Linked DNA regions of Drosophila melanogaster. The protein of the gene in region 1 interacts with the protein of each later gene in a pairwise test. Each region holds a gene or a part of one and is shown on either strand. Other genes may lie near its edges.

Region 1 (7,194 bases):
ATACCATTTATCGACAATAAACTGGACTTTATAATTGCTGACGTAGGCTTCTTCGCTTTTTGCAGCTTTGATTGACAATCTTTCCATATGTTTCAGTCTAAACAAATAACAAATATCTGTAGCTCAATTAACAAAGTCAAAAAAAATTGTGTAAACAAGCTCTTTGATATTTTGGTATTTTCCAGGTAGTTTCCATAGAAAATGTATACAAATTTAGAACCAAAAGGATTTCATGTTAATGAAGTTAAACAGAATCTTAATTCACACAGGTTTTATTTTTGTGCCCTTAGCTGTGTGAGCACATTTTTGCCAAAAAAAAAAACGTGTTGCCATATTTTGGTGTAGTAACTTACGGTAATCACTTTGTACTTTGGCTGGTCTTTCATCGTTGATCATGTGTCTTCGGCGTGACGAAAGCGATAAGCAAAGAACTACCCTAATTAATTTGTAAACGATATCTTTAAGAGGAAAACCATGTGTAAAACTTTTCAACTTCCTCCTGAAACTGCAATGCAGTTCAGTTAAAGTAGAAAAAAGCAAAGCAGATCTGGATCATTATCCAGATTAGATCCAGATAAAAAAAAAGTGGGCGATAAGATAACGTAATTGGTGCGCTTGTGTAATCAACATCAAAACTTGTCGTTCTGCTTGGACAAATATTGGGGGATCAGGTACAATCTTTCGACAGTGGAAAAACAATCGTAAAAGACGAAGTGTACTAAGCAAACACAAGCAGGATTTTTAGACAAAAGCAAGATGTCATAAAGCAAACAAGAGCACTGGAAATTATTATACATATGCTATAACCAGAACAATGGTGAGATAAGGGATAAGATCTTGTGAGGTTCCGCGAGATAAGATAAAGGGGTAGAAATAGTTGAAGGAGGCACCAAAGAAGCTGCTAGAAAAGTGCCGATGACCCAATATCGCTCTTCTACATACATATGCACATATGTATGTATATGCAGTGCATATATCCATCCCTCTTTCTCCTATATCACTTGCCGCACAAAAACAACGCGAAACTGCAATGGCGAGTGGAATTTTCCCTTGTTTACAGCTATTATGCCTGTGTGCGTGCGTTTGTATTTGTCGTTGTATGACATAATAAAAGCCGCCCAAGATGCCCCCCCAAAAAATGAGGAAGAACTTAAACGAAACGCTGGTAAATCGCTAAAGACTCAAAAGTAATGGAAGAAATACCAGTTGTTAACGAGTATCTTCCCAATTGGATCGCATAAAGCAAAATTACCAAATGCCATTTCCGATGGAAGAGAAACAAGTAAACAAAGAATAGAGAAAACTCATACGCACACAGATGTTATGGGTTCTCCAATTGGAAGGAGGTTCAAACTGTAAATAAATGAGGGACCACAGCGTTGCCAGATCCCCAAACATGATGTGTCGGTTGCGATAATTAATTAATAAAAATTTCCTGCAAACAGAAGTATCAATAAAGCATTTATGTAAGCGGATTATTGTTATAGACTTGTGGTTACAATCAACGAAACTACTAAAGCAGCGCAAAGAACGTGGCAACGCTGCAGGCGGCCATCTTGAACATAAGACAAAACAGTAAATAAATAAGGCATAATAAAGTAAAAAATTAAATTTCATATATCTCCGGTGAAATCAATTAATTACTTTACTTACGAATCGTGCCACTACACATACATGGCCACAATTTCCATTATTTATTTCCGTCGTTCTCATTGTTTTTACCTCTGTGTGCGTCACAGATGATTTTACAGTAAAACAAAACATACTGACCCACACAGCTTCACATGTTTACATGTGTGCGTATGTGCGTATGCGTACGTGAGAAAATCAACCAACACCGTTACCCGATTTGTTAGCAGGTTACACTTATACTACACTTAACTATTGCACTACAAACCATTACAACCAAGCCTACTTGCCACCAATTGGAAAGGAAAGGAGTCGTGGACTCCCTCGCACTATTTTCATTTCATTTCTCTTTTGCTTTTTTTTATTCTTCGCACTACAAAATCGACTTTGCACTTTTTGTCGTCGTGTATGGCAACCGCTTTGGACACCATTACTTACAGTTTATTATTCATATTGGATGGCATTTTCACACTTAATGGTTGCAACTTAACGCACTGAGAAGAAATCGAGTCGAACGAAAATTGACTTTTGTTGTAAAACTTGCTTTGATTGGGGTGCAAACCTCCCAGCAATTTGTGATCTGATGTCGTCAAAAGTTAGTATAAAACTGAAGAAAATACCAACGTGCTACTCCTTTTATACGTTTCTCGCCGACTTTTTCGGTACATCTCTGGCCGGCTAAGTTTGGTCACACTAGGTTCAAGCTCCAGCAACCTATTGTCACAAACAACAGTTACTTCTTTAAGGGATTCTTAAATCTAATTTACGTGTTCCAATTTTATACAGGCGTACCTTTTCTGCTTTTACAATTGTAAATAACTTGAGGATATAGTATAGAAGTTTTACGTCGATTTCCTAAGCGGGTCTCATTAATTGTTAATATTGATTAACTTAAAAAACATAAGAAACGATCCAATTAGGCTAATGTCGAGATATGAATATCGTAATGGTAAATAATTACAGTTATGCTATAAAGTAACGTGACAGTTTTAAATAATTAACAGCTGTCAGATTGACAAATCCATGAAATTTAAGTACAACTTAAATAAAGCCTTTAACATCTAAGAGAATATCCCAATTACTAATTTACAATAATCAAAAAAATATTAGAAAATATCGATAACATTCTGGTCGTTCTCGCAACCCTAGTCACAACGCGTTTGGTCAAATTTAGGATCAGTCGTTCGTTCGTTCGTTGGAATAAAATAAACTCGGGAATTAAATCTTGGAAAAACGTGCGAATCCGTCATCCTTTCATCTAAAAAACCATGAGCGCCTTTCCCGGTACGTTCGCGTTCGACGAATATGGTCGGCCTTTCATCATCCTGCGCGACCAGGAGCGCCAGAAGCGCATCACAGGAACAGATGCCATAAAGGTAAATGAAACTGCGATTCACCATCTCCTGGCGTTGTATTCCGCATCCTGGACGAGCTGGTCAGGATCAGATTCGTAGGCAAATGCCCTGCGTGCAATTGGTGTGCTCACTAAGTCACAGGAGTGACGCATCGTCTGCGGAACATTCCAGATGTTCTAAAAAGCCGGTTTTAAATAGTCTTTTTGTTGCTAATATTTAATAATATGCTGAATATATCCTTCTTTGGTAGTGAGCTATTACTCCGAACAAGCTTTCATTCTTTAGTTGCACTCATAAACAATGCATTTTGGAAAAACAATTTGTCTGGCCGATTTTGAGGTTAAAACGGCGCCCAGATGTTTTTCTTTCATTGCCGGCTGAGTCACGCGCACTGCGAAAAGTTTGGAAGTCCGGATAAAAAGTCACTGAAATGCTTAAAGAACCCAATAATTCCATCTGCAGATGCAGATTCTATTGCTTTTGTATGAAAATTACTGTATACACATGTCCATCCTAGTCTTCATTCAGTTATTGGTATATTCTAGAATCCAACTAGAATATCAATTTAGACCACGTCGATTTAAACTTTAAATTTGAAAGTAAATCTTAACATTTGATTTAGAAGCAGTTGCGCTTGAGAAAGATCTAATTTCCATTCACCATCTTACTGATAAATAATTGTAATGTCTACCCTAAGTACTTACTAAATTATCCATTTTGCTCCAACAGACGCACATTATGGCCGCCCGCCAGATCGCGTCCACCCTGAAGACCTCTCTGGGTCCCAAGGGTCTGGACAAGATCATGGTCAGTCCCGACGGCGACGTGACTGTGACCAACGATGGCGCCACCATCATGAAGCTGATGGAGGTTGACCACGAGATTGCCAAGCTGATGGTGCAGCTGTCGCAGTCACAGGACGACGAGATCGGCGATGGAACCACCGGCGTTGTCGTGCTGGCCGGAGCACTCTTGGAGCAGGCCGAGGGACTGATCGACAGGGGCATTCATCCCATTCGCATCGCCGATGGCTTTGAATTGGCCGCCCAGTGCGCCATCAAGCAGCTGGACGCGATCGCCCAACCCTTCCCCGTGGACCCGAAGAACAAGGAGCCACTTATCCAGATCGCCATGACCACGCTGGGCAGCAAGATCGTGAACAAGTGCCATCGTCAGATGGCCGAAATGGCTGTGGATGCTGTGCTGAATGTGGCCGACATTGAGAAGAAGGACGTGAACTTCGAGCTCATCAAGATCGAGACCAAGGTGGGCGGTCGCATGGAGGACTCGATGCTGGTGAAGGGTGTCATCGTTGACAAGACCCTCAGCCATTCGCAGATGCCCAAGGAGCTAAGGAACGTCAAGCTGGCCATTCTCACCTGCCCGTTTGAGCCCCCGAAGCCAAAGACCAAGCATAAGCTCGATGTTACCTCCGCGGAAGACTACAGGGCGCTGCGCGAGTACGAGCAGGAGAAGTTCACCCAGATGGTCAAGCAGGTGAAGGACGCCGGCGCCACCCTTGCCATCTGCCAGTGGGGCTTCGATGATGAGGCCAACCACCTGTTGCTTCAGCAGGAGCTGCCCGCCGTGCGCTGGGTTGGCGGTCCGGAGATCGAGCTGATTGCCATCGCCACCGGTGGACGCATCGTGCCGCGTTTCGAAGAGCTCACGCCTGAGAAACTAGGTGTTGCGGGACTCGTTCGCGAAATGGGTAGGTTTTCATTTTATAGTCGGATTTAGTTCATTCCTAAGTGATTTTGATTCTTTCAGCATTCGGAACATCCAAGGACAAGATGCTGGTCATCGAGGAGTGCAAAAACTCCAAGGCTGTGACCATCTTCTTGCGTGGAGGTAACGCCATGATCATTGCGGAGGCTAAGCGATCGATTCACGATGCCATCTGCGTGGTGCGTTCGCTTGTGAAGGACTCGCGTATTGTTTACGGTGGTGGAGCTGCCGAGATTAGCTGCTCGTTGGCTGTGGCCAAGGAGGCCGACCAACTGTCCACGCTGGAGCAGTACGCCTTCCGCGCCTTCTCCGTGGCCCTGGAGAGCATTCCGCTGGCTCTGGCGGAGAACAGCGGCCTGCATCCCATCGAGACGTTGTCGGAGCTGAAGGCCAGACAGGTGGCCGAGAAGAAGTCCAGCCTGGGTGTCGACTGCATGCTGTCGGGTGATTCGGACATGAAGAGCCATAACGTGGTGGAGTCGCTGCACTCGAAGAAGCAGCAGATTCTGCTCTCCACGCAGCTCGTCAAGATGATACTCAAGATCGACGACGTGCGCTCCAAGAACGAAGGCGGCATGTAACGACCGCCCAGCAGCAGCATCATACATCAGATCTAGTTTCAGATTCACATCCCCACGCTTCGCTATCTCTTCACGAACAACACCCGCGTCAAGCCTCATCTCTATGTACATCTGTATTAATTGTTTAATTTTATTAATCCACAAGTTCTTTGGAAAAGAAGAAAATTACATTAAACAAGGGGCTATCCCTGTTCAAATACACTAAAACGAAACTAAGACATCGACTAGACTTTCTTGCCATTGATGGTGGTTAGCTGCTTGCGATTGATTTGATCGAAGAAGAGCAATCCCGCCGAGCGTTCCACGCTCTCTGGCGGCACCTGAAACACACTGATGGGAGTGTCGTTGCTGATCACCTGATTGGGCATCACGTACGACTCCATGTGGAGTTTGTGGTCCGCGGACTCGCCCACAATAACCTTGTAGAAGTGGGTGGGAACAGCCACGGTGTTGGCGCCGATGACCTCGTACTTGACATACGATTTCCCATCGTCCTCCTTGTGCGGTAGGTACAGTGGACCCGTACAGACGTACACATTGGAGTAGGTCTTGGTCAGTCTGCGCACGTGTGCCTCCAGCGTGTTCCAGGCATCCCGGTTGAAGCCCTGGCCCACCTGTGGCGCCATGTTCGATAGGTAGAAGGTTTCGTCGCAGTGCTTCTGGTGCAGTCGGTGATTTCCAGCGGCGGCCATGTGCCCGCGATCATAGCCCGATCGTCGGTAGTCCGTGTTCTGTGACCTGAAGAACGGATGGATGCTCTCGTCCTGCTTGAAATCGCACTTCGATCTGTCCACGGCATCGTTCTTCGCCACCGACTCTGCCGTAAGGTGCTCGAACACCCAGTGGGGCACCCGGTTCCTCCGATCGTAAGACAGCACGTAGTCCGAATGGGAGCGCACGTGATCGAGTCCGGGAAATCCATACTTCATGATCTGTCCGATCCGAGACGGAGTTGCCGTCAAGCTTACATTGTTCTCTTGGGCGGGAATCAAACTGGCAGCCGAAACAGTTCCAAAGGTGGGCAGACCAGGCAGCCGCGGAAGGCCACTTGTGGAGCCATTGTGCTGGCGTTCGCGTTCCACGTGGGTGCCCAGATAAAAGGCGCCCAGGGCGGTGGCACCCAAAGCTAATACGCCACCCACTCGAGGAGCACTCATTTTGGCAGTTTTATTTAAAAATCTGGACAAAAAGACCAGATAGCGACCGCTATTGCACAATTCAGGTACTTTAGTGTGACCACAGTTTAAAGTGGTCGAACGAACTACAGTGAAAGACATAAATATATGCACGGATTGCTAAATTTGCTTGGGAAAATAAGTAAGTATACTATGTATATTTCATTAATGTATTAATAACTTAAAAAGGCGACGTGTGAGCTTTAACCGTAGCCCAAGTCGCAAATGGTGGTACTTACCAATTCCATATAGATAGATGGGCTTCGTGAACAGCAAGATATCCGAGCTCGAATAACTCGTCGTGGCAGTTCAAAATTCCAGGGCTGGATATCCCCTCGTCTTATGTGCTCTAATACACACTCGGCGTGTAGCAGGTTGTAAGAAATTCGCGTTTAAAATCAAATAACTTAGTGGGCGCTGCCATGTTTTAAAATTTATTCGATAACCGATCCCCGACTTAAAAGGAAAAGTGTGACCATCAATTTATAAAATTTAGCTTATATTTTGTAAAAAAATTGTTGCTTCTTTGTTTAGGAATTTTTAAGAAAAAGCAATTGTGTCGCAGAACAAAACGATGGCTAAAACAGTAATTTTAAAAAGGCATACAACACATATAAAATTATTTTTAAGGTTAAAGAAAGATTTTTATAACAGAATTAAAATCTTCTAATTTTAAAGCAATATTAGGCGAACCCAAATACATGCCATTGTACAATGTAGAATTTA
Region 2 (7,446 bases), on another chromosome or scaffold:
TGGACCTGAAACTGGAACCCGAAGAGATTGAGACCCTCGGCGACCAAATCAACAGGGCTGTCTCATCGCTAAAGAATGTTGAAGCCATAATCTACAGGACCAAACCCGATTTGGACAGGGTCAATAATCTGCAGAGCATTGCCAATGCCACCAAGGAGAAGGCCGATAAGATCCTGGACTCTGCCAATTCGGTCGTGGAGAGCCTGGCGGCGGCAGATGAATCCCAGGGTAAAGCCAAGGATGCCATTCAGCAGGCGAACAGTAACATTGAGTTGGCCGGTCAGGATCTGGAGAAGATCGATGAGGAAACGTATTCCGCCGAAGCTCCGGCCAATAACACAGCACAGCAGGTTGAGAAATTGGCCAAGAAAGTGCAGAAACTGCAGAATAACATAATGAAGAACGATCGGGATGCCAAGGAGATAACCAAGGAAGCGGGTAGCGTCAAACTGGAGGCCATGAGGGCTCGCGGAGAGGCCAATAATCTTCAGTCTGCCACAAGTGCCACCAATCAGACCCTCACCGATCGCGCCAGTCGCTCCGAAAATGCCAGGGAAAGGGCCAAGCAGCTGCTCCAGAGGGCCTCCAAACTAACAGTCGATACGAACGCCAAGCTAAAGGATCTGAACGATCTGCAGACCGTCTATCTGAACAAGAACCAACAACTACTGCGATTGCAGGCCGAGATCGGCCCCTTGAACAAGGAGCTCAACGAGCACCTGATTCACATCAAGGAGCGGGGGTCGCACTACAGGCAGTGCTATACGTAGATTGGGAAACGTAAGTAATGCAGTTTTAATACTATTACAAGCAAATAACTAAAATCAGTAATATTTTTTAGATCCATTTGCGTGGCCATCTAAATTGCCATATTCATGAACAAATAAGCAAATTGCGAAATACGAGAATCAAGTAAAGAACTACAAGAACAACTAGGAAGGCGACAGTTATTATGTAACCACTGTTAAGTTACCGTTACGTTTTGTACTCTAAGCGAAAACCAACACTGCAATGTTAATTTTAAAAATTGAGCGAAAGAAATCGATGCCTTCACTTTTAATGTGTACACACTGAGCTAAGTTTTTCTTATACTATCCCTATACCATTTTGTAATGCAATTAATGTAATTAAATAAAACTACTTAAATGTGGAAATGTCTAGCATTTGTTTGGGCTCGATCGGGAGAGGAATGAGATAATGGTCATTTAAATGGAGAGCGACAGGTGAGAGTATTTTTGCAACACAGTTCTATTTCCCAACAATAAATCTTTTTCGCTGAACAAATGCAACTACTTTTAAGTATAATAACAGAAATATATTATTTACAAACGTTGAATAAAACAATATTAATAACGTTGGAAATGAAGCCTAAAAGCTTAATATAGATAAAAAGTATTTAAACAGAAGTTTGTTGGAGTTCAAATATATACAAAAATTCGGCTTATGCTATTTTCACTGTACTTCGATTTCTATACTATTGTATACTTATGCTGCCATAAACATTGCCAATTTATTCCATTTTCCGTTTTGTTTTAGTTCTTCTGCGCGTCGCGTGCGGCTTGTTTTTGTTTTTAATTTTCGTCCAAATAATTTTCCACATTTTTTTTTCGGGGGCCAGAGGTTCTTTTAAAACCGGAAGTTGTTACGAATGGATCACCGTTACAGAAGATCGTTAAGGAGCTCAGCAGGTATTTAATAACAATTAAAAAATTAATAATGCAGTTGGCACAGTTGCAGAGAAGCCCACTTCAAGCACAAAGGTCAAGGTAATGCAAAAAATGCAAAAGTGCTTGAAATCATGCAATTTCTAGTTATCCCTGCCTGCTCGAAAATCACTAAAGTTTTGCATGAAAAGAGTACCCCTGCTGGCTATCGATAAGAGTTATCGCTTCGGCCCCTATCGATATTTCAAAAGTTCATCAATTTCAGCTGAAATCTCAACAAGTGCAAGTTTCGAGCTCTGTTTTAATTAAACACAGACGTGTCGCCGAACAAGTCGGCATTGTTTGGATCGGTTTTCAGGTTGCAGTGCGTGAAAATATATATATATTTTTTATTTATTTATTGCGACATCCGTGCGGCCACTCACACACACAGGCGCGATTGACAGATGTGCGACGTGCATACGTATAAAGAGCACACACTCGCACACACGCACGCAGTGCGGATGTTCTGATTTTATGCAAGAAACTGAGTTTATTTTTAAAATAAGAAGAACATCCGAAAATATAATGCCAACGAAAGGCGACGGGCGAGCGACAAAAGAGCGTTTGTAAGCGCAGAAAAAAGGGACACGGCGAAAAGGAACGGGGACGGACGATAAACCAAAATAACGGGAACATCGGCGGCGGTGGAAAATTCAGAAAATAAGAAAATCAAAACAAAAGCAAAATAAAACGACATCTGACGTGCAGCTTCAAGTGCTTTGCCCCCAGAGTACGTTTTCCCCAAATGGACTGGGTTTTTCATTTTGCGAGCAATCTGCAATCTTTCCCATTCAATTGAGGTCGCGTCGGAATCTGCATAAGTGCATAAAAAAAAATAGTAAAAATTTTAAAAATTCTGAATTCGAAACAAATAATTTCATACAGTTTTCTGAAAAGCTTTTAAAGTTGATCAATATATTGTTACCGTTAAAATTTTTATAAAAAGATATCGTTTTTATTAATAAATTAATCGCATTCATTTTAAATTATTAATCAACAGTGTAATAAACTATTTGCTATAATACTAAAACTTGCGTTCAACTACATATAAAAATAATTTAAAATTTTAACATTATAAAATGTTTTTCGAAATGATCTTAAGCAGAGTTCTTTGAAACCATAAAGTAAATAATGATCTCAGACATCGAAAAATGGGAAATTATATTACTTCCGATTCCGTCCGAGTCTGAGAGAATTTAAACGGGAAAGTCTTGCATATTAAAATGCCCAACCCCTTTGTTGTTTACTTTAATTTCGTTTTTTATTCCTTGCATATACACCCACTGACACCCACATCAACATTTACCGCTGACAGTTTCGCATGCGATTTGCTTGAAACACATTGACAGAGCCGAAATCAAGCGCCAGCAGAGTATACAGATAGCCCGGCATTTCCCATGGACGACGAACTGGAAGACAAGGTGTTCTATCAGACATACGTATCGCACATGAAAATCCTGTCCAAATTTGCGGTGGGCTTCTCGTCCATCAACTCCCCGCTGGCCTACATATGGAAGCTGTGCCGACTGTATGTCCTTCGGCCGGAGGTCATCTTCTGCGGCTTGATCCTCTTCGTCCTGTTGCTCTATTTGCAAGCGGTAGATGTGTGGAGTCGCAGCATCCTGGGACGCATCCAGGCAACCCTCGGTCGCCAGAAGGCCGTCAAGATGATGGAGCTGTCGGCCAGTGCTGGTGATCACCAGAGCTGGGAGGAGATGAAGCAGCAGAGCTCGGCCTTCGCGGTCCTGGGACGCAGGCCAAGAATGGAGGATAGGTTCGTATGAAGTCACAATTCCCAGGGATAAACTATATTGTAGATAGCACTTACATAGTAGCTGAAATATACAAAGATCTGTCACGATCGACAGCATTTTAGGATTTACAAATTGGCTAAGAGTGTTTTTATTAGATTTAAATGATCTATTGAGGAATAAATTCTTGGCAACACTCATTTTCATTCATTAAATAGCATTGCAACACTTTATAGCTATATAAATCTTTTCCATATGTCAAATTTAGACTAGATAATAATAATTTGGGTCTTTAGAAACAACTTAGTGACATCTCTATTCAAATGTACACATTCCAAGAAACTAAAGACTAAAGACTTTTATTTACATCTTAGGTTTATTATCGAGGAGAACATCAACAACAACACTGGTATCTCCTTCTTTGCCGTATTTGACGGTCATGGCGGCGAGTTTGCCGCAGACTTCGCCAAGGATGTGCTGGTGAAGAACATCTACAATAAGATCATCGAGATGTCCAAGCTTCTGAAGACGGAAGGAAATTCCGGAGATTACGATAAGAGTCCCTATTTAGCGCGCAAGCAGAGTCGCAAGGATGCAAACAAGGAGAACACAGAACCGACGGCAGGGGTGATGCGAAAGGATAGTCTAAGGAAGGCCCACAGCACCACGGCGGATTGTAGTGCTATTAAGCAAAAGACAACCGAGGCATCCATTGCCGACATCTACACAGTCCAATTAAACTCGGCGATGAGAGCCAGTGGGAATTTGGGAGCCGCCAAGGATTCCTTCCTCAACAACAACAACAACGGACAGAACGGAGCAGCCAATGCGCCACCTCCAAACTACGAAGCCAAGTGCTACATCGAACACGGACGTATTAACTTTGGTAAACTGATCACGGACGAGATCATGTCGGCCGACTACAAGCTTGTGGAGCAGGCCAAGAGAGCGGTAAGGGAACCTCTTTTTACTTAATCTTAAGAGACAATTCTAACTGATCTTAATTGCAGACCAACATTGCGGGAACCACCGCTCTAATAGCGATAGTTCAGGGCTCAAAGCTGATTGTGGCCAATGTGGGCGACTCCCGCGGAGTCATGTACGACTGGCGTGGAATCGCCATACCGCTTTCATTCGATCACAAGCCGCAGCAAGTGCGAGAACGAAAGAGAATCCACGATGCAGGCGGATTCATCGCCTTCCGAGGCGTTTGGCGTGTGGCCGGGGTGTTGGCCACGTCACGTGCTCTAGGGGACTATCCGCTTAAAGATAAGGTGGGAAAAATGGGATGGTTCCAACGAGTTACTAACGAGGCTAATCTTGACACTATTTTTAACCACACGCTTACAGAATCTGGTGATTGCTACGCCGGACATTTTGACCTTCGAACTAAACGATCACAAGTGAGTGAACAACACTTTGCAACAACAATCCAAACGACCATTTGATAGTTGTAAAGTGCATTACATTAGACCTGTATTTAATGAAATACTTTCTTATAGACCCCATTTTCTGATACTGGCATCCGATGGGCTGTGGGACACGTTCAGCAATGAGGAGGCCTGCACTTTTGCGTTGGAGCATCTGAAAGAGCCGGACTTTGGCGCCAAATCACTTGCCATGGAGTCGTATAAACGTGGCTCCGTGGACAACATCACCGTGCTGGTGATCGTCTTCAAGAACGATGTCTACAAGATTGGCAGCTCAGCGGGAAAAGCGGGAGAAGAATCCCTAAAAGTCCCAGCCAAATCTCAACCAGTTGCGCCTGCAGTTGTGCAACGCTCGAATTCAATCAAAACCAAATGAAAAACGATAGATAAGAGTGCCTGCTAAGAAATGCTCTTCAGCTTTTCTCCTAAAAATTTCCTTCTCCCCAAGAAAAACAAACGAAAGTGCCCGAATTTTTCTAGTTAGGCATTTTGCTAAATACCTTTTGACCTTTTTGTTACTTGTCCAAAGGCAGCGTTCATTCATCCCATTACAGACATGCATACACATTCATCACTCGAAAATGCGTTCATCATTTGTCTTAATATTAAGGTTGTTTGTTAGTCAATGTTGTTTTGTTTAAACAAAATATGTTTGCATCCGCCGCCACATTGCCGTGCACTCCGTTTTTCCAATTCGCACACGAAAATCATCACAGTCACTGACTCAGTCAGGGTAACATCATCACGTAACTATTTATTTAATTTATTTGTTATACGTGTAAAAGAAAACATTTTCTAAATGTCGAAATGTTTTTACGAATAAAACAATGCATACGAAACGAGAACATTTCGTTTTGCTACTTAAATTCAATTTCTAATTGTTTTTCTCAACATTATTCGTTTTGGATTTCAATGAAATGATCTGGTTTGTAGTTTAGGGATTAAAAACATCCACTTTCGATTAAAGTTTATATAAAATGTTTTCTTTATTAACATTTACTTATCTTCTGCCTAAACTAAATTGTCCCACTGTTTATACTATTCCCATCTATCCGGAGAAAACTCTATAGCCCAAAGCCTAAAGTTAAAACTAATTCAGCCGCTACAAGATACACAAATTTCAGTTAAGGACGCTTAAATTTTATTTTTGTTTTAGCTAAACAAATTTGACGCCCGTTACAAAGGTCAGTAGCTTAGTGAGCCGAAACAGACACCTGCCAGACGCGGATGGTGTTGTCGGAGTAGCCGGCGAACAGAGTCTGGCCGTCGGTGGACCAGGCCAGGGACAGGCACTGGGGCTGATCGGCCTTCGACGTGGGCGAAACGACCTCGGGGCGCAGCTCCTCAACGGTCTTCTTGCATGCCAGATCCCAGATCTTGATCGAGGGTCCGTAGGCCACGCACAGCCAGTAGCGGTTGGGCGAGAAGCACAGGGCGTTGATGATGTCGTTGTGCTCCAGAGTGTACAGGTTCTTGCCGTCATTGAGGTCCCACAGCAGGGCCTTGGAGTCCTTGCCACCTGAGGTGCACAGGGAGCCATCGGGCGAGACGGTCACCGTGTTCAGGTAGCCGTTGTGGCCGTGGTGGTTGTTCTTCAACTTGCAGTTAGCCAAGTTCCAGACCTTGACGGTGCGATCCCAGCCGCAGGACACGATGATCGGGTTGGAGTGGTTGGGCGAGAAGCGCACGCACGACACCCAGTCGGTGTGGCCATCCTCCTGGATGGTGAACTTGCACTCAGCCAGGGTGTTCCACAGCTTGATGGTCTTGTCCCGAGAGCCGGACACGATCTGACGGTTATCGGCCGAGAAGGCAACCGACAAAACGTCCTAGAAAGCGAACAAGCATTTGACGATTAGCTAATGGTATTGGTATGGTTTTCATAAAAATAATATATTTACTGGATATTTCACTGACCAACTGAATGGGCATAGTCCCAACTCAATTAGTCAGTGAACGGAATCCAGATGGGTTTCTTGCAACTAATTAGGAATCAATGGGTATCAGAGATTGTTTGCCTACTTACGATGGAGCTTCAAGCAATTTATAGCCGAGACTCGAGCGAAGGGTGAAGCGTACGTCGTACAGATGTCAACCAGTAATTCTGCCTCGCATAGGCGCAATATATATTTTTTCGATTTGTACGCGGCAAAGGCGGGCCTAACCTCACTCCTAACCTTACATTTAGCCTTTTGCCGGTACAGATCGGTTCAAAATCTCAGTTCCCTAAACGAACTAAATGCAATTGGAATCTTATCCCACCTTAGTGTGTCCCTCGAAGCGACGGGTGGTCTTGCCGGCGGCCAAATCCCACAGGCGAAGGGTCTGATCCCAGGATCCGGACAGGGCGTAGTTGCCATCGGAGGAGAGCACCACGTCGCTGATGAAGTGCGAGTGTCCGTAGAGACGCTTCTGGGGGTAGCCGTAGTTGGTGTCCTCGTCGCGGGTCAGCTTCCACACGATCAGGGTCTTGTCTGCGAATCGAGATGGTGGCCATTAATATACGCACGTGCTACCAGATAAATCCGAAGAATTTCAATGGCGATTACTTACCACGGG
Region 3 (5,582 bases), 4.0 Mb from region 1:
TTCAGTGTTAAAGCTTTGACCAGCGGCTTCTCGACGGCGGGCGGCGGTTGCCTAACTCTGGAAGACCAGCTCCCGCTCCACCGACAAGTACTCCAGCATCTGCGCCGGCACTGGCAACTGGGCCAGCTGTTCGCGAGACATCTGGCGCTGCAGAACACGGCGGCATAAGTCCTGCAGCTTGGGCATGTTGGAGTACCGGCTCAACGGGTACTTGAGGATCACTGGAAACGGTGGCTGCATCTCGTTGGGAACCTTCACAAAGCACACAAAGTTGTCGTTGGTGCAGCGGTGCAAGATATCTTCGATCATCTCGACAATGGACTCGTACTTAAGTTCCTCGAAGTGCCAAAAATTGTCGCGATATTCCAGTCGATAATGCAGGGTTACGTTCACAATCCGAAAGCTGAGCGTGAATTGGGATCCGCTGGTTTCCGAGTCGCGGACTAGAAACGACCCAGTCGGCTTGTCACTCAACTGCCGCTGCGAATCGCGCCTGGAGATCTCACCCCAGTACCACACTTGGCTAAAAACAAACAAAGGGCATGAGTCATCGATCGTTGATGGACGGAGAAACACGGCGCTTACTTGAGCATCTCGGAGCAGGCCTTGTACATGATCTGGTTGGGCGAGTGGGCGTCCTCGCGCTCAAGCCATTTCTTCCGGATAAAGCGCAAGTAGTCGTGTGTGAATGGTAGCGTGGGTTCCGGACAGATGGCCGGCGTAAGGAACTCGTAGGTGGCATCAGTAGTTCCGCCGTCGTCGCAGTCGCCCATGGAGTGCCAGTTTCGCAGGGAGCTGAGCCCTTGGCCCACCTTCCTTCGTAGTCTGGCAAACACGTTTCGCTTGTCCTTGTCCCGCCTTCTGCGCAGAGTTCCTGTGCCCGTGCCCCCATTGCTGCAGCTGGCCATGGAAGAGTCCGCTGCCTCAAGGACGCACACTTCGTTGTTGTTGTTCTGCGATCCACTGGTGGAGACGGCGGCGGATGCAGTCACGGCCAGCGCCGAGTCGGACTTCTTGCGCCTGGTCAGCGAGTGGAACCAGCCCTTCTTTTCCTTCTCCCTGTCCCTCGGGGAGTCACCACCGCCAGTGAGCGCCTGGCTCCGCTGGCTGCTCTGGTTTTGACTCTGGTCGCCGTGGCTCATTTTGGAGTGGAATCGGATCGGATCGGAGCTTCCTCGTGGTGGAATTACATCATTGATCTAATTCGGAGCCGTGATCAATGCCTAACTTTATTGATAAGAACTATTTGTTTTCGTTGTACACAAGAACTGTCTTATCGCTATCGGTCGTGCGTAGCTGGTAAATGCTATCGATAACATAGGGGAGTTTAAAAAATTAAATTCTCTGCAAGGCAAAGCTTTAATTTATCCATTATTACAGCCCTCTGCTTTAGGCATTTTTAAAACTAACTTAAATTATTTCAAGTAAAATCTCGTTGACTTAAATATATTGTTTTCCATATTGCAATTTTTTAATATTAATGTAGTTTGTCATTCAAATAAGCTTTATTTTTATAAATCGCTACAAAAAATATGACATTAATTTGACAGAAATTTAAACACATCGATTTAACGATAACGAAATCGAACATACTTCCATCTCTAGCACATTTAAAATCATTTTAATCATAAGAAAACTAAGTCAAAAATGCAACACTCCAGCATGAAGGTGGATCTATCAAACTTTTTCAAGGACGAACGACGAAATTCGTTGGTTTTCATCGATGCAGCATGGAACAACATCAAGGACCTCCAGGACCACATACAAAACCTCTTCAGCTTGGCAAGATTTTTAAGAATCTCTAACTGCTAATTCTAAATAAATTGCATTCAAACAGAAGGACATTAGTCTGCTCACCTCAGATGGATGCTATCTGCCCCCGAGGGAGTCTATCAAAGTGTTGAACTCTGCCGAAGGACTCAAGTAGGTGAGCTTATTTCTTTTTACGATCTACTTGAGCATATTCATCCCTTGCAGAGCCTTTCGGTTTGCCAGCCACGATAGTGATACCTTTGTGAGCCCTGCTCCTGTAAAATCCAGTAAAAAGCGCAAGAATCGATCCGTCGAGGAACAGGTTCACCTAACCGCCTCCACTCCCCTCCGACCTTCAAAGCGCTCCAAGAACCAGAACAACTCAGAATGGATAAATATTGCAGAAAACCCATCTCGTGTGAGAAAGAAGGAGTTGCTAGATATGGCTCCTGGACCTTCTGTACAATCAAAGCTCTTGACAAACAAAGGCACTCCAAAGGCCCCTGAAACTCAGACAGAAGTTTCTAACATGTCAGCGAACATCGAGACAGAGAACAAGGAATCTGCTCCTCAGATTAAAAATAAATCCAAAAACAAGAAACCGACCAAATCGCCCGAGGCATCTGACCAGGTAGAGAATGAACCTGCTCCTAAGAGTATTTCTCGATGCACGCTCAAGGAGGGTAAAATGTCAGAAAGCAAGAATCAAGAGACATCGCCTGACATTCTATCAGAAAAATCTGGTGTGGTAACGAAGGAAAACGAAACTCGAGAGGAGCAACAGGACAAAACACACTTGGAGTCCAACAAAATTCCGGATAAACTATCTCAACTGAAAGCAGGGGACCAAATTGAGAAGAGTCCTGGCATTGCTGCTAGCCTCCTATCGATTTCGTTCCGCTCCCCTCTCTTGGAGATGCCCTTTAATGTTCCGCGCATATTTCAATTTCCCACTAAAAAACAACAAATTGAAATTCTGGAATATAAAAAACTTAAGCCCATCAGTCCTCGTTTTTTGCTGCAGAAAGGAGCTAAGAGTGATGATACGGCTAAACAATTCCCAAGCAATGGGAAGGATTCAACCTTAAAGCCTAAATCCTACGAAATTTTGCACGACGAAGAATTACCAGATGTAAAGGATAAAAAAAATGTTTCAGAAGGTATAAAGAGAGCAGTTGCACCTCTTTGCGAAGACATCATTGAAACATCAACCACTCTTCCGGGGGCCATAGGAGCAGTTGAATCCGCTTATCTGGACAATTCGACTGAAGCTGAGACCACTCTTCCGTCCGAAGCTGAAGCAACTAATCCACTTGAACTTACTGAGTCATTTCTACAGAACAACACATCTATGGAAAAAACACCCAAAGTCGAAAAAATTTTGCCAGATGACGGAAGTGCATCTCCGATTAAAAATAACGTTGATTCGAAGGATGTTAAAACGGTAACAGTGCCCATTTTTGAGGAACAACTAGTATCCGATTCCGACGACGATGTGATGTTGGTAGACGACTCCAATATCGACGTTTCATACGGCGACTCTGATATTGAACCGATTCCAGGTGAGATACGAGGCATTTAAATGGTAGATGTATGCTTATGAGTGCCCTTGACATCTTAGTAGTAGAAAATAGGCAATCTTTGGATATTATAAGGGACCTACTGCGGACTGCAACTCCACTCAATAGCCTGCCGTCCAGGGGCGATACGGTTATATTTAAACTGCTGAAGATTAAGGGAAACGCCAATTCTGGCACAACCGAATTTGTCGCCGGGAGGTGCACTTACGTTAACCGGCGCACCAAAATTGTCACAGTGGAAACAATAAGTAAGCGACTATCAATTTAAATTGTATACCCGAAACTGATCTCGTTAAAATTTTTAGCTTATCCCCCCGAAATCGGTCGCATGTTGCGTCAATATTATATGAGTGGGTTGGACGAGTCTTCTGAGGATGTGCGAACTTTAAGTATTCATCTCAAAGATATGCTTGAAGCCAAAATCATTGTAGCCACAATTGACTGATTATCATTTTTGTGTGTACATTCTTGAGTTCTATTTCCAGGGTTTCGTACATTTATAGCTTTTAAAATACAAACGATTAAACAACATCTATATGTACGAATTCATGTTAGTTGTCTATCCTCTACTTGATGTGCTCCTTGATCTTCTCCAGCAAGTCGTCGGCTTCGTCACCGGTCTTTACGCGTAGCAACAGCGATGTGGCCTTGGAGTCCTCTGGCGTGGGCACGCAGACCATCAGCACATTGTTCTTGCCCATGCGCTGGCAAGGTATACCCTTGCTAAGAATAAGGTTGACCAAGATGTTGCCCAGATTGGTGTCGGCGCGGACTAACAGTTGGATCTTTTCGGAGTCCTTGACAGGTTTCAAGTACAACGTGCCCACGCCACGATCGCCAAAGTCCTTGTCTTTCTTAATGAACACCTTACACCGCTTGGAGTATATAGCGTCATCCTCCACAACCTGTTTGGAGTAGAAGTTATATTATCTTTCCCTTCGAAAAGAAAATTCTTTTATCATCACCTGTTTAAACTCGACTTTTGGGGGCGTATCCTCTTCTTTTTCCTCCTCCGCAGGCGCTGCCGCTGCAGCTGGCGGATGAATGTTTCCGAGAGAGAAGGGCGTGGCACTGTTGGTGAAGGAAAAGCCCTTTGCGCCGTCTCCTGCTCCTCCAGGCGCTTTTCCGAAACCCGCAAACAACGAGGTGCTTGGCTTGTCGTCGTTGTTACTTTTCAGTCCGAAGGAAAAGCCATTGGTCTTCGGTGCCGAGAAGTTAGGCTCATCCTTTTTAGTGGTCGTATCCTTTGCTCCAAAGCTAAAAATGCTGGACTTAGGGGTATCATCGGATTTGGCTTCTCCAGTGGGTTTTGCTGTCAAACTGAAGATACTGGAGGAGGACGGCACTGGCGCAGTGAACGATGCCGTACTGCCGAAGGAGACCAGTGGTGTTGCGGTCGTGGTGGTTGTTCCACCACTGGTTATGGTGCAGTTGGGTTTCTTGGCTAAGGGCGATACGCTGGCGCCTATTGGCGCGCTGGGCTTGCCAAACGTAAACGTAGTAGCCGCTTTTGGTGGCGACGATGCACGGGACACCTTTGCAACTGGTTCTTGAGAACGAGCTTGTGCCGTTTTGGATTTCGTGGAGTTCGTTCTGGCGCTCTCCTCGTCTTGCAGATCCTTTAGATGCTCATCATAGTTCTTAAACACTGGAGTCAGTATGCAGTAGGGACTTTTGCCCATTTGGTCCTGCAGGAATTTTATGACGGACCGATTTAGGTCAGCAACGCTTTCACGGTACTCGGAGGTCTCCATGGTGGATGTGAGGCTAGTGCTGCTGCTGCTGGTTTTGGCCTCGCTACTCTCCTTCTTGGCAGCTGATATGTTGCCAAATATCGAGGTGGTCGGCTTGGCGCCATCGACGGTACTTGTTGATTCCTTGGCCGGCAAAGGAGAGGGGGCCGTGCTGCTGGTGCTGGCGGTGCCGCAAATGCTAGTGCTGACAGGCCGATCGGCCGAACTGGAACTGGAGCTGAACCCGAACGAGAATGCAGACTTTTTTGGCTCGCTGCTAGAGGTCGTGGCTGGTGCCGTCACATTGGCCAGGAAGGAGAAAGGCGAACCCGCGGCTGGGCTCGCAGCCGGCTTGCCGAAACCTAAAAGCAATCGGAGTGAGCAAGTCCCTCAGGTCTGCATGGATTTGATAGCTTACCGGAAAAGCCACTGAACACACTTTTGGGCTCTGCAGTCTTTTCTTCGGCGCCATCCTCTTCAGCGGCGGACGATCCACCGGCAATCTTGCGGCGCGCCT

Evidence for each region.
Region 2: the proteins of CCT5 (region 1) and CG7115 interact in a two-hybrid assay, tested with the Drosophila melanogaster proteins (one large-scale study listed by BioGRID).
Region 3: the proteins of CCT5 (region 1) and coil interact in a two-hybrid assay, tested with the Drosophila melanogaster proteins (one large-scale study listed by BioGRID).

The regions. Positions count from the first base shown.
Region 1 is NT_033778.4:12,172,024-12,179,217, forward strand, and holds CCT5 (chaperonin containing TCP1 subunit 5), read left to right. Parts: upstream 1-2,778; 5' UTR 2,779-2,897; coding exon 2,898-3,005; intron 3,006-3,072; exon of another isoform or gene 3,073-3,087; coding exon of another isoform or gene 3,088-3,105; intron 3,106-3,713; coding exon 3,714-4,695; intron 4,696-4,754; coding exon 4,755-5,293; 3' UTR 5,294-5,493; downstream 5,494-7,194. Other genes in the region: EndoG (endonuclease G), read right to left, coding at 5,518-6,450.
Region 2 is NT_033779.5:7,819,621-7,827,066, forward strand, and holds CG7115 (uncharacterized protein), read left to right. Parts: upstream 1-1,914; 5' UTR 1,915-2,436; intron 2,437-3,021; 5' UTR 3,022-3,103; coding exon 3,104-3,480; intron 3,481-3,831; coding exon 3,832-4,408; intron 4,409-4,467; coding exon 4,468-4,731; intron 4,732-4,807; coding exon 4,808-4,860; intron 4,861-4,959; coding exon 4,960-5,263; 3' UTR 5,264-5,730; downstream 5,731-7,446. Other genes in the region: LanB1, read left to right, coding at 1-770; Rack1 (receptor of activated protein kinase C 1), read right to left, coding at 6,081-6,716, 7,150-7,361, 7,441-7,446.
Region 3 is NT_033778.4:8,123,265-8,128,846, reverse strand, and holds coil (coilin), read left to right. Parts: upstream 1-1,604; 5' UTR 1,605-1,647; coding exon 1,648-1,782; intron 1,783-1,837; coding exon 1,838-1,923; intron 1,924-1,977; coding exon 1,978-3,314; intron 3,315-3,373; coding exon 3,374-3,580; intron 3,581-3,637; coding exon 3,638-3,777; 3' UTR 3,778-3,866; downstream 3,867-5,582. Other genes in the region: Socs44A (suppressor of cytokine signaling at 44A), read right to left, coding at 52-523, 586-1,142; Nup50 (nucleoporin 50kD), read right to left, coding at 3,899-4,237, 4,298-5,427, 5,484-5,582. UniProt on the Drosophila melanogaster protein: Component of nuclear coiled bodies, also known as Cajal bodies or CBs, which are involved in the modification and assembly of nucleoplasmic snRNPs. Required for Cajal body formation.